3 linked regions of the Macaca mulatta genome follow. The protein of the gene in region 2 purifies or fractionates together with the protein of the main gene of each other region. This does not show direct contact. Links are inferred from orthologs where the notes say so. Each region holds a gene or a part of one and is shown on either strand. Other genes may lie near its edges. The genes, in order: SRPK2, SNRPA and SF3A2.

Evidence for each region.
Region 1: the proteins of SNRPA (region 2) and SRPK2 purify together in Homo sapiens (affinity purification with mass spectrometry; 4 studies listed by BioGRID and IntAct, with this or other methods). This does not show direct contact. The link is inferred for Macaca mulatta from reciprocal best matches to the Homo sapiens genes SNRPA and SRPK2.
Region 3: the proteins of SNRPA (region 2) and SF3A2 fractionate together in Homo sapiens (co-fractionation; 3 studies listed by BioGRID and IntAct, with this or other methods). This does not show direct contact. The link is inferred for Macaca mulatta from reciprocal best matches to the Homo sapiens genes SNRPA and SF3A2.

The regions. Positions count from the first base shown.
Region 1 is NC_133408.1:144,699,830-144,702,528, reverse strand, and holds the end of SRPK2 (SRSF protein kinase 2), read left to right. Parts: intron 1-534; coding exon 535-719; 3' UTR 720-2,185; downstream 2,186-2,699. UniProt on the Homo sapiens protein: Serine/arginine-rich protein-specific kinase which specifically phosphorylates its substrates at serine residues located in regions rich in arginine/serine dipeptides, known as RS domains and is involved in the phosphorylation of SR splicing factors and the regulation of splicing.
Region 2 is NC_133424.1:51,869,937-51,873,687, reverse strand, and holds the start of SNRPA (U1 small nuclear ribonucleoprotein A), read right to left. Parts: upstream 2,327-3,751; 5' UTR 2,124-2,326; coding exon 2,051-2,123; exon of another isoform or gene 1,457-2,050; intron 1-1,456. Other genes in the region: ACTMAP (actin maturation protease), read left to right, coding at 3,735-3,751. UniProt on the Homo sapiens protein: Component of the spliceosomal U1 snRNP, which is essential for recognition of the pre-mRNA 5' splice-site and the subsequent assembly of the spliceosome. U1 snRNP is the first snRNP to interact with pre-mRNA.
Region 3 is NC_133424.1:2,990,482-2,994,132, reverse strand, and holds part of SF3A2 (splicing factor 3A subunit 2), read right to left. Parts: intron 3,019-3,651; 5' UTR 2,982-3,018; coding exon 2,856-2,981; intron 1,893-2,855; coding exon 1,821-1,892; intron 1,705-1,820; coding exon 1,658-1,704; coding exon of another isoform or gene 1,629-1,657; intron 408-1,628; coding exon of another isoform or gene 385-407; coding exon 275-384; intron 1-274. UniProt on the Homo sapiens protein: Component of the 17S U2 SnRNP complex of the spliceosome, a large ribonucleoprotein complex that removes introns from transcribed pre-mRNAs.

The sequences.
Region 1 (2,699 bases), on a different chromosome or scaffold from region 2:
GCTTGTTCGTCATTCTGTTATGTCAACCAAAGCTGCCTGTAACCCACACTTTTCATACTGCAGCTAGTACAGTTTGTGAAATATAACTTCAAGATTTACAAATTAATGTCCTAGGATCTTAGATTTTACAACAAATGCGTAGACATGAATGGTGTTTGATTTGGGTTGGCCTCAAGTTTGCAAATTTTACGAAAGATCCCAGGTTGAAATGAGAGTGGCTTGCTTCAGCCTTTGGAAAAGAAAACACTCTGGGCAAAGTGAGCCCACTCCACTTACTTAAAGAAACTTAGAACTAATGTGAATGAACTATTAATTAACCTCTATTTACATCCACCAGGCTTACTTGAAATATGCCTTGGTCATATGTGCATGTAATGATTACTGCCTAGCGGGGAAAAGCTGGTGTCCTTTGTTGTTGCCGTGTAAGTGTTGAGCAGGTGGTTGTCCGCTTCATTGAAAAGAGCCTGACTGGACCAACAATGGGGAATGCAGATTTGGAGCTTTCTTGACATTGGCCTGTTTTTCCCCCTATAGGAGAACTGCGACACATCACCAAGCTGAAGCCCTGGAGCCTCTTTGATGTACTTGTGGAAAAGTATGGCTGGCCCCATGAAGATGCTGCACAGTTTACAGATTTCCTGATCCCGATGTTAGAAATGGTTCCAGAAAAACGAGCCTCAGCTGGCGAATGCCTTCGGCATCCTTGGTTGAATTCTTAGCAAATTCTACCAATATTGCATTCTGAGCTAGCAAATGTTCCCAGTACATTGGACCTAAACGGTGACTCTCATTCTTTAACAGGATTACAAGTGAGCTGGCTTCATCCTCAGACCTTTATTTTGCTTTGAGGTACTGTTGTTTGACATTTTGCTTTTTGTGCACTGTGATCCTGGGGAAGGGTAGTCTTTCGTCTTCAGCTAAGTAGTTTACTGACCATTTTCTTCTGGAAACAATAACATGTCTCTAAGCATTGTTTCTTGTGTTGTGTGACATTCAAATGTCCTTTTTTTGAATGAAAAATACTTTCCCTTTGTGTTTTGGCAGGTTTTGTAACTATTTATGAAGAAATATTTTAGCTGAGTACTATATAATTTACAATCTTAAGAAATTATCAAGTTGGAACCAAGAAATAGCAAGGAAATGTACAATTTTATCTTCTGGCAAAGGGACATCATTCCTGTATTATAGTGTATGTAAATGCACCCTGTAAATGTTACTTTCCATTAAATATGGGAGGGGGACTCAAATTTCAGAAAAGCTACCAAGTCTTGAGTGCTTTGTAGCCTATGTTGCATGTAGCAGACTTTAACTGCTCCAAGGAGTTGTACAAACTTTTCATTCCATAACAGTCTTTTCACATTGGATTTTAAACAAAGTGGCTCTGGGTTGTAAGATGTCATTCTCTATATGGCACTTTAAAGGAAGAAAATATATGCTTCTCATTCTAAAATATGCATTATAATTTAGCAGTCCCATTTGTATTTTTGCATATTTTTAAAAGTACTTTTAAAGAAGAGCAATTTCCCTTTAAAAATGTGATGGCTCAGTACCATGTCATGTTGCCTCCTCTGGGCGCTGTAAGTTAAGCTCTACATAGATTAAATTGGAAAAGAGAAACGTGTTCATTGTGTGGAATGAAAAAATACGTATATTTTTTGAAAAGCATGATCATGCTTGTCTAGAACACAAGGTGTGGTATATACAATTTGCAGTGCAGTGGGCAGAATACTCCTCACAGCTCAAAGGTAACAGTGATCACATTCATTCCATAGGTAGCTTTACGTGTGGCTACAACAAATTTTACTAGCTTTTTCATTGTCTTTCCATAAAATGAAGTTGAGAAAATGATTTTCCCTTTGCAGGTTGCACACAGTTTTGTTTATGCATTTCCTTAAAATTAATTGTAGACTCCAGGACACAAACCATAGTAGGCAATACAATTTTAGAATGTAATATATAGAGGTATATTTAGCCTCTTTTAGACGTCAGTGGATTGAATGTCTTTTTATTTTAAATTTTACATTCATTAAGGTGCCTCGTTTTTGACTTTGTCCATTAACATTTATCCATATGCCTTTGCAATAACTAGATTGTGAAAAGCTAACAAGTGTTGTAACAATAATCCATTGTTTGAGGTGCTTGCAGTTGTCTTAAAAATTAAAGTGTTTCGGTTTTTTTTTTTCCAGACATTGCCTTGGTCATTGCCCTATAAATGATAGAATCAGTGAACATTTGCTATCAGAGTAGTGTCACTAAAACTAAATACCAGCATTCCTGTTGCAGCAGATGTAGTTGTAAAACATGCATTAAGGCTTATTATAAGGAAATCATTTATTATTTTTTAAGGGCAGAAGGGATTTAGGAGAAAAGCTATAGTATAGATTGATTCTTTAGAATTTCAGTGATCTCTTTTCATCCATGGTTCATCAAAAACATACTGACTGCATTTGTTCGATCATTGCAAACTTAAAACAGCATTTGCTGTTAGGAAACAAGACACATAACCCTCTTAGGAATTACCATTACATCTCATACCACAGTGAGGCAGAATGGATCATTCATTCATTTCTTTATGAAATGTGCATGCTAAGTTTTTCTAATGAGGCTGTAGGTTTCCATGTAAATTCTGTGATAGATAGTGGCTGTAGACTGGTGATACTATCCATGATTTCTGTAAGAAACATCCTTACAAGAACCAT
Region 2 (3,751 bases):
AAAAAAAGAACCAGCGTTCTATGTCACCAGTGTGTCCCCAGCACTGCCCAATAATGGTTAGGCACCACACTCTAAAAGCATATGCAAAATTTACATTCCTGGTTTTGTTTTATTTTATCTTTTTTTGAGAGTCTCTATCACCCAGGCTGGAGTACAGTGGTGCAGTCTCAGCTCACTGCAACCTCTGCTTCCCAGGGTTCAAGTGATTCTCCTGCCTCAGCCTCCCAAGTAGCTGGGACTATAGATGTGCGCTGCCACACCCAGCTGATTTTTAGTAGACACGGGGTTTCACCATCTTGGCCAGGCTGGTCTTGAACTCCTGACCTCACACGATCTCCCACCTCAGCCTCCCAAAGTATTTTTACTAGACACGGGGTTTCACCATCTTGGCCAGGCTGGTCTTGAACTCCTGACCTCACACGATCTCCCACCTCAGCCTCCCAAAGTGCTGGGATGACAGGCGTGAGCCAGTGCCCCGGCTGCTGGTTTTGCTTTCTTCAAGAGCAACTTCACTGGTGACCTCAAACTGAATCCCAGTAAGCTCCTTCGGTTCTCCTGACAATTTTCTTGAAGTGATAAGAGCTAACATTTATCCAGCCCTTACTAGCTGCCAGTTAACATAAAAAAGAAATACTGCAAGGTTTAGCTAATTTAATCTCACCCAACATCCATGCAAAAAAGGTATTATGATTTTGCTCAGTTTTTAGATGTAGAAAATGAGATTCAATAAAGGTGATAATTTACTTGAGAACGTGAGACGGTCTTTCCCATTTCAATAACTGAGTTTTTTTTTTTTCCTTTTTTCAGATAGGTTCTTGCTCTGCCCAGGCTGCAGTGCAGTGGTGCAATCATAGCCCACTGCAGCCTCAACCTCTCTAGCTCAAGCGATCCTCCCACCTCAGCCTCCTGAGTAGCTGGGACCACAGACACACCCCACCCACGCCCAGCCTTTTTTTTTTTTTTTTTTTTTGTAGAGACAAGGTCTCGCTTTGTTGCCCAGGCTGATCTTGAACTCCTGTGTTTAAGTGATCCTCCTGCCTCTGCCACCCAAAGTGTTAGGCTTAACCACCACGCCCGGCCAAAAATTGGGTTCTTAAGCAGAATTCTATACCGGTGGCTTCAACCACTTTACTTGCTATGTGACCCTGGGCAAGTCACATCACCCTGTCTCAGTTTCTTTTCCTTTCTTTTTTGAGACGGAGTTTCGCTCTTGTTGCCCAGGCTGTACTGCAATGGTGTGATCTCGGCTCACTGCAACCTCCGTCTCCCGGGTTCAAGCGATTCTCCTGCCTTAGCCTCCAGAGTAGCTGGGATTACAGGCATGTGCCACCATCAGGCCTGGCTAATTTTGTATTTTCAGTAGAGACAGGGTTTCTCCATGTTGGTCAGACTGGTCTCGAACTCCCGACCTCAGGTGATCCGCCCACCTCGGCCTCCTAAAGTGCTGGGATTACAGGGGTGAGCCACCGCGCCCTGCCTCAGTTTGTTAGTTGAGGAATGGGAATAACAACAGCCTTCTTCCTACAAGCTTGTTGTAAGAACTAAATGTAATCAACATTTATATAAAAGCACATAGACTAACCCATGATACAGAGCATTAGCCACCATTACGGTACATTTTCATTGTGAGCTGATCACTGAAAAAGCCGGTGACCCAAGAAAGCCCCAGTCCTTGCCCTCACGGAGCTCAAAGGCCACTGGGAGGAGAGAGAGCCCCACGACAGCTCAGAGGAATCAGGGCGTGATGGGAGATGGCCTCAGCGTATGGGAAGTCAGCGGCAGCCACGTGAAGGGACAAGGGAAGGCTTCCTGGAGGAAGGGTCCTGTGACCTCAAACCTTGTAAGATGAGCAACAGTGACCAGGTTAAAGGGCAGAGTGTAAGATGAACTAATGGAGTGTTGAAGACAGGAAGTAGTTTGTGTAAAGGCCAAGGGGTTAACTCGAAGTTTGGCTGGAGGAACACTTAAGAAAGAGAAGCGGATGCAGGGGGTGGAAGAGGGACCAGCCCGTGCGGGACAGTCTGGAGTCCGGACTATCCCGAGAACTCACCATCCTTCTTGATCTTCTCATTGAGGTTGTTGATATAAATAGTGTGGTTAGGGCGGGTCTCGGGAACTGCCATGGAGTGAAGTGTTGAGGTAAGGCTTAAAGGAGGAAAAACGTGACTTTAGCCCTGGGTTTCGCCAAATCCTTTGTCCCACCGTTGGCTGCTCAAGGATCTTCCTCCCAAAAGGAAGTCAGGTAAGGCGGGAGTAGGGGGAAGGACCGAGGGAAAGCGCGGGCAACAAAGCGTGCGTAGGACCCGCTTCTCCAGCACGCGTGCAGAGGGAACTCTCGAGAGATTTACTACGACTTCCAGGATGCTCTACGCGACCCCGTGGGCGGAGCGCCCTAAATGGCGACTCCCATTGGCCCATGCATCCGAAGGGCCGTCCTGGAGAAAAACCCGGATGTGGGAGCCAGTATAGAAAAAAGGGGACAGGTCTTGGGCAGCCTGGCCTCGAGCAGCAAGTTTCCTCAGACGGGCCCAGGAAGGCCCGGACGCCAAGCGTACCGCTCGCCCGCCGCCGATGGTCGTTTGCACCCCAGGTTACCTTCCGACAGGACCGCAGTTCTCTCAAGCGGCGCCTGCTACTTTCCTGAGACCAAACCACGAAGCTTTCTCTCCTGGCACCGCCCCTGCCTTTCTGCCAGGCAATCTCCGCGCGGAAACGCAGTAGCTTGACCAATCAGAGCAAGTCTCGTTTCTGGGCTCAGCTCTTGCCAATCAAAATGATATTTGAGTTCCCGCCTAGGTAGAAAAACCCCGCCCGACTCCCTGAAAGCCCACCTCCTTCCGTGACTCCCGGGTCTACGGACCAATCAGTAAAGGTCACTAGTATTTTGCCAATCGGGACGCGTCTGGCGCTGTGATGTCTTCCGGAGGCAATCCTTTTTGAAGTCCCGCCTCTTCCCCCCAGCGCTGCGTTTTCTGTCACGTGATCGCCAAATGGGCGGGCACTGTTGCGTGTGATACTCCGTGATATGGGAAAAGCAGTGTGCGGGGGCCGCCATTTTCTGGGAGTGGGAGGTGTACCTTACTTCCTGACTCCCTTCCCTTTTCCACCGGTTATCACGGCGCCCACCGGCCTCTGATCTCTGAGTCTTCTCCAACCCACAGACGTTTTTGTTGCTCTGGTTCCGGGACCTTCTCCACAACTAGGCCGTTTTTCCTGCCAGGTGTCCATTTTGACCTCTTGACCTCTGACTCAAAGGTCAGCCCAAAGGTTCCAAACTCGGGCCTGGGATGTGAGGGGGTAGTGAACCTAAGTTCTCCGAATCTTTAGCCCTGGGCTCCTAAGTCGCACCCTTAAGGCACCTCACTTTAGGTCTGAGCCTTCATATCCCAAACTTACTCATGTGTTTCCACATCTAGCCCCAAAGAATGAGTTAACTCCTACTGACTGTCCACCTAAGACTCCCAAGGTAACCCAACCGGTACCACAGATCCGGTTCCGGATTTAAGGACCCCACCCTGTTAACTGTCAGGTGCCTTATGACTTGAGTCACCCTCAATTCCTGCTCCCATGGTTTCAAATATTAGCTGTGGTCCTTTCACACCCACTGCTCAGCCCCCAGATTCTGGAACTCAGCTCGTAAATTTTTAAAATTTCCATCCCTGAGACTGTTCTCCGTTGGAGGATCCTTCCCTCCCCACCTTCTGAACCTCTCAGCCCCTCCTGTAGACCCCAAAATGACTTCTCCATGCTC
Region 3 (3,651 bases), about 49 Mb from region 2:
CTCCCCAGAAGCTTCCACAACACTCGGACAGGAGGGCACAGACTGTGGCTCAGCTGGGAAAGGGGCCGCTGGGTGAGACGGGTGCTTATCGGGCTCAGCCTGACAGCTCCCAGACACAACGCCAGAGGCTGCAGGTGGGTGAGGGATGGCCACCAAGGCCAGAAAACAGCGGCTCAGGAATGAGGGTCTCAGGGCTGCGCCTCCTGCACTGGAGCCCAAAGAACCTATTCATGCAGCAGCAGCGGCTGTGGCCAGCGCCGCTCCGGGCACTCACCTTTGTAGCCTGGGCGGCCGATCTTCACAAACTTCTTCACCTCCACCTTGACCTTCTCAGGTGCAGGCTGGGCAGGGGCCTCCTTGGCCTCCTTGGCGGCTCGCCGGGCCCTGCAGGCAGGATGGACGTGGTGCTGGGGCCCCTCCACACACAGGCACCAAGGCCACGGGCCCCCTGACCTTGGAGCTCACTATAAACTGAGGGATGAGGAGGGCCAGGGGCCTGGGAGGGGCCCTGGGGTTTGGCTGAGAACAGGGATAGGACAGGCACGTTCTCTTCCTGTCATGCTCCTCACTGTCCCTGGCTGGGGTCCTACCAACAACTCCATGCCTCTGCTTTTTTTTTTTTTTTTTGAGACCGAGTTTTGCTCTTGTGGCCCAGGCTGGAGTGCAGTGGCGCGATCTTGGCTCACCGCAACCTCCATCTCCCAGGTTCAAGCGATTCTCCTGCCTCAGCCTCCCCAGTAGCTGAGATTACAGGCATGCACCACCAAGCCCGACTAATTTTTTGTATTTTTAGTAGAGATGGGGTTTCTCCATGTTGGTCAGGCTGGTCTTGCCCTCCTGACCTCAGGTGATCTGCCCGCCTTGGTCTCCCAAAGTGCTGGGATTATAGGCGTGAGCCACTGCGCTCGGCCTTTCTTCTTTTTTTTTTTTTTAAATAAGACTGAGTCTCGCTCTGTCGCCCAGGCTGGAGTGCAGTGGCGCCATCTCGGTTCATTGCAACCTCTTCCTCCCAGATTCAAGATTCTCCTGCCTCAGCCTCCATAGTAGCTGTGATTACAGGTGTGCATCACCATGCCCAGCCTAATTTTTAGATTTTTAGTAAAGATGGAGTTTCTTTTTTTCTTTTTTTTTTTTTGAGATGGAGTCTCGCTCTGTCACCCAGGCTGGAGTGCAGTGGCGTGATCTTGGCTCACTGCAAGCTCCGCCTCCCGGGTTCACGCCATTCTCCTGCCTCAGCCTCCCGAGTAGCTGGGACTACAGGCGCCCGCCACCACGCCCGGCTAGTTTTTTGTATTTTTTAGTAGAGACGGGGTTTCACCGTGTTAGCCAGGATGGTCTCGATCTCCTGACCTCGTGATCCGCCCGTCTCGGCCTCCCAAAGTGCTGGGATTACAGGCTTGAGCCACCGCGCCCGGCACAAGATGGAGTTTCACAATGTTGGTCAGGCTGGTCTCGAACTCTTGACCTCAAGTGATCTGCCCGCCTCAGCCATCCACGCCTCTGTTCTCTAATGCTCCCCAGAAACCGTACTCCAGCGCCCAGGGAGGCCCAGACCAGGCTGGCTTCCCGGCCGTGGAGCAGTGGCCCGTGAGGCTCACAGAGACTTGAGCCGACAGCTGCTGGAGCACCAGGAATCGAAGGGGCACGGGGTACTCACAGGTTGGTCTGGTGCTTCTTCCCCTGGGTATGTGCCAGGTAGCTCCCCTGGAGTGGAAAGGAAACACACATGACTCGGGCCGGGCAGACAGACACAGGCAGGTCCCCCTGACGTCAGCCACTCAGCCCGCCGCGAGCTGCCCGGAGCCGGGCAGAGGCCGCACCTCATTGTTGTGAAGCGTCAGGCACAGCTTGCATTCATAGGAGCCCAGGTGGTTCTTCATGAAGTACGGGTCCTGGAGGGGAAGAACAGGCGCCCGTTAGACAGATCGAGGCCTGCTGCGGTCAGGGCCCTCAGACGCAGGATCCCCTTTCTGTACAGGCATGGCTGTCCCTGACGGTGTCAAGCGTTTCTGAAAACGGGGGATCCGGCGGGAGGCCTTTGTGAGCACAGGTGTCACCGCCTGGGGCTGTGGCCCAGGCTCTGAGCAGCGGGGGTTCCCAGGGAGCCCCCCGCACCACCTTCCTGGTGGTTCTGAGTCAGAGGGAGGCAGAGTCAGCACAGCACTCCTGGTCACTCCCAATGCAGGGAGCTGTCCGCTGCCCACGCCACCACACCAGTGGTCGGCACAAGGCAGACACAGGCACAAGAAAAGCAAATGGGCTACACTGAAGGCCCAGAGACCCGTCCATCTCCAGGCCCTAAGCCGGGGCAGCCAGGCGCACGCCTCTCGTCTCAGACGCTGGAGTTCAAAGGCTAACTCCACCATCTGTGGCTGGGGCACCCCTCCACCCGTGACGTCATCTGGAAGACAGGGACAGTGACAGAGCCCTCGTCATAGGCCAGGTCCGTGGGGCGTGTCAGGGTACACAGAGAGTGCTCCAGTCCCGATGTCCACAGTGCTGAGGGGACCCGGCTCATCCCCGCCCCTGCACAAGCTAAAATCAAAGGCTGCCCTTCACCACATCTGGCTGGACTGACATAAGCTCTCCCCACTCCCAGAAAATTAAATGATGCGAAACAGAAGGTTTTGGACAGAACAAAACACTCTCACACGGGGCTCAGAGCCACAGAGGGTCTGCTCTCTAAGGCGGACAGATGGGAGCTGTAGCTACTCGGGGCAACAGGGGAGCATCTGGACACGGGGCTGCACCGCCCAGGCTGGGTGGAGGCCCAGGAAGAGCCTCTGGCACCCTCTCCAGGGCTGTCCTGGAAAGCCGAGCCCCCGCCACAGGCGGCTGCACGGTGGCTGGCCCACCTTGTTGATGTCGATGGTCTCTAGGGCCAGCTGCCGGAGGCGCTCCCTGCGGTCACGGTTGCTCTCGGAGGAGGAGGCCACGCCCCCGCTCCCGGTCTTGCCCCCAGGGCGATGCTGGAAGTCCATGGTGACGGCCTTGGGGCTTTAGCAGACCGGGAGACACCTGTGGAGGCCAAGAGGAGAGAAAGAAGGATGGCTCAGAACTCACGGCTGCTGCTGGGACCTCCCTGGGCCAGGCCACCAGGCTGGAGCCTGTGACAGCCCCTCACCCTGCACTCCCAGAGCCAGGGTCTAACCAGCCCTGAGGGGGCCACCCCAAAGTGCACCCAGTCTCTTCCAGGAGGCCGAGGCCCACTGTGGACAGGCACAGACACGAGGGAAGCTGGAGCCTGTCTCCAAATGAGCGTATGTGAGGGATGGAGAGGAAGCCACTCCAGCCCAGAGTGCCAAGGCCTGGAGACCTGAAATGGAGCGGGGAGCCCAGAGAAGGCATAAAGGGAAGACAAGGCCAAATTCTCACAAACGAGTCACCACCACCAGGGAGCCTTCCCGGACTGCCTAAGCCCCCAGTGTTCAAGCCTTCCTCTGAACTCCCTCTCTGGTTGGCTGCGCTTACTTATCCCCAGCCTAATTCTATCTCTTGGGTTCGCTGTAAACTTATTGGGAGGTGAGGACACTGATCTTTGTGTCCTGACTGGGTAACATCCGGGAGATCGGTCACATCTGCTTGTGGCGCAGGAGGGCTCTGCTGAGTCCCCAACAGGCAGCCTCCTCTCATCTCCTGGCACTCTTCCCC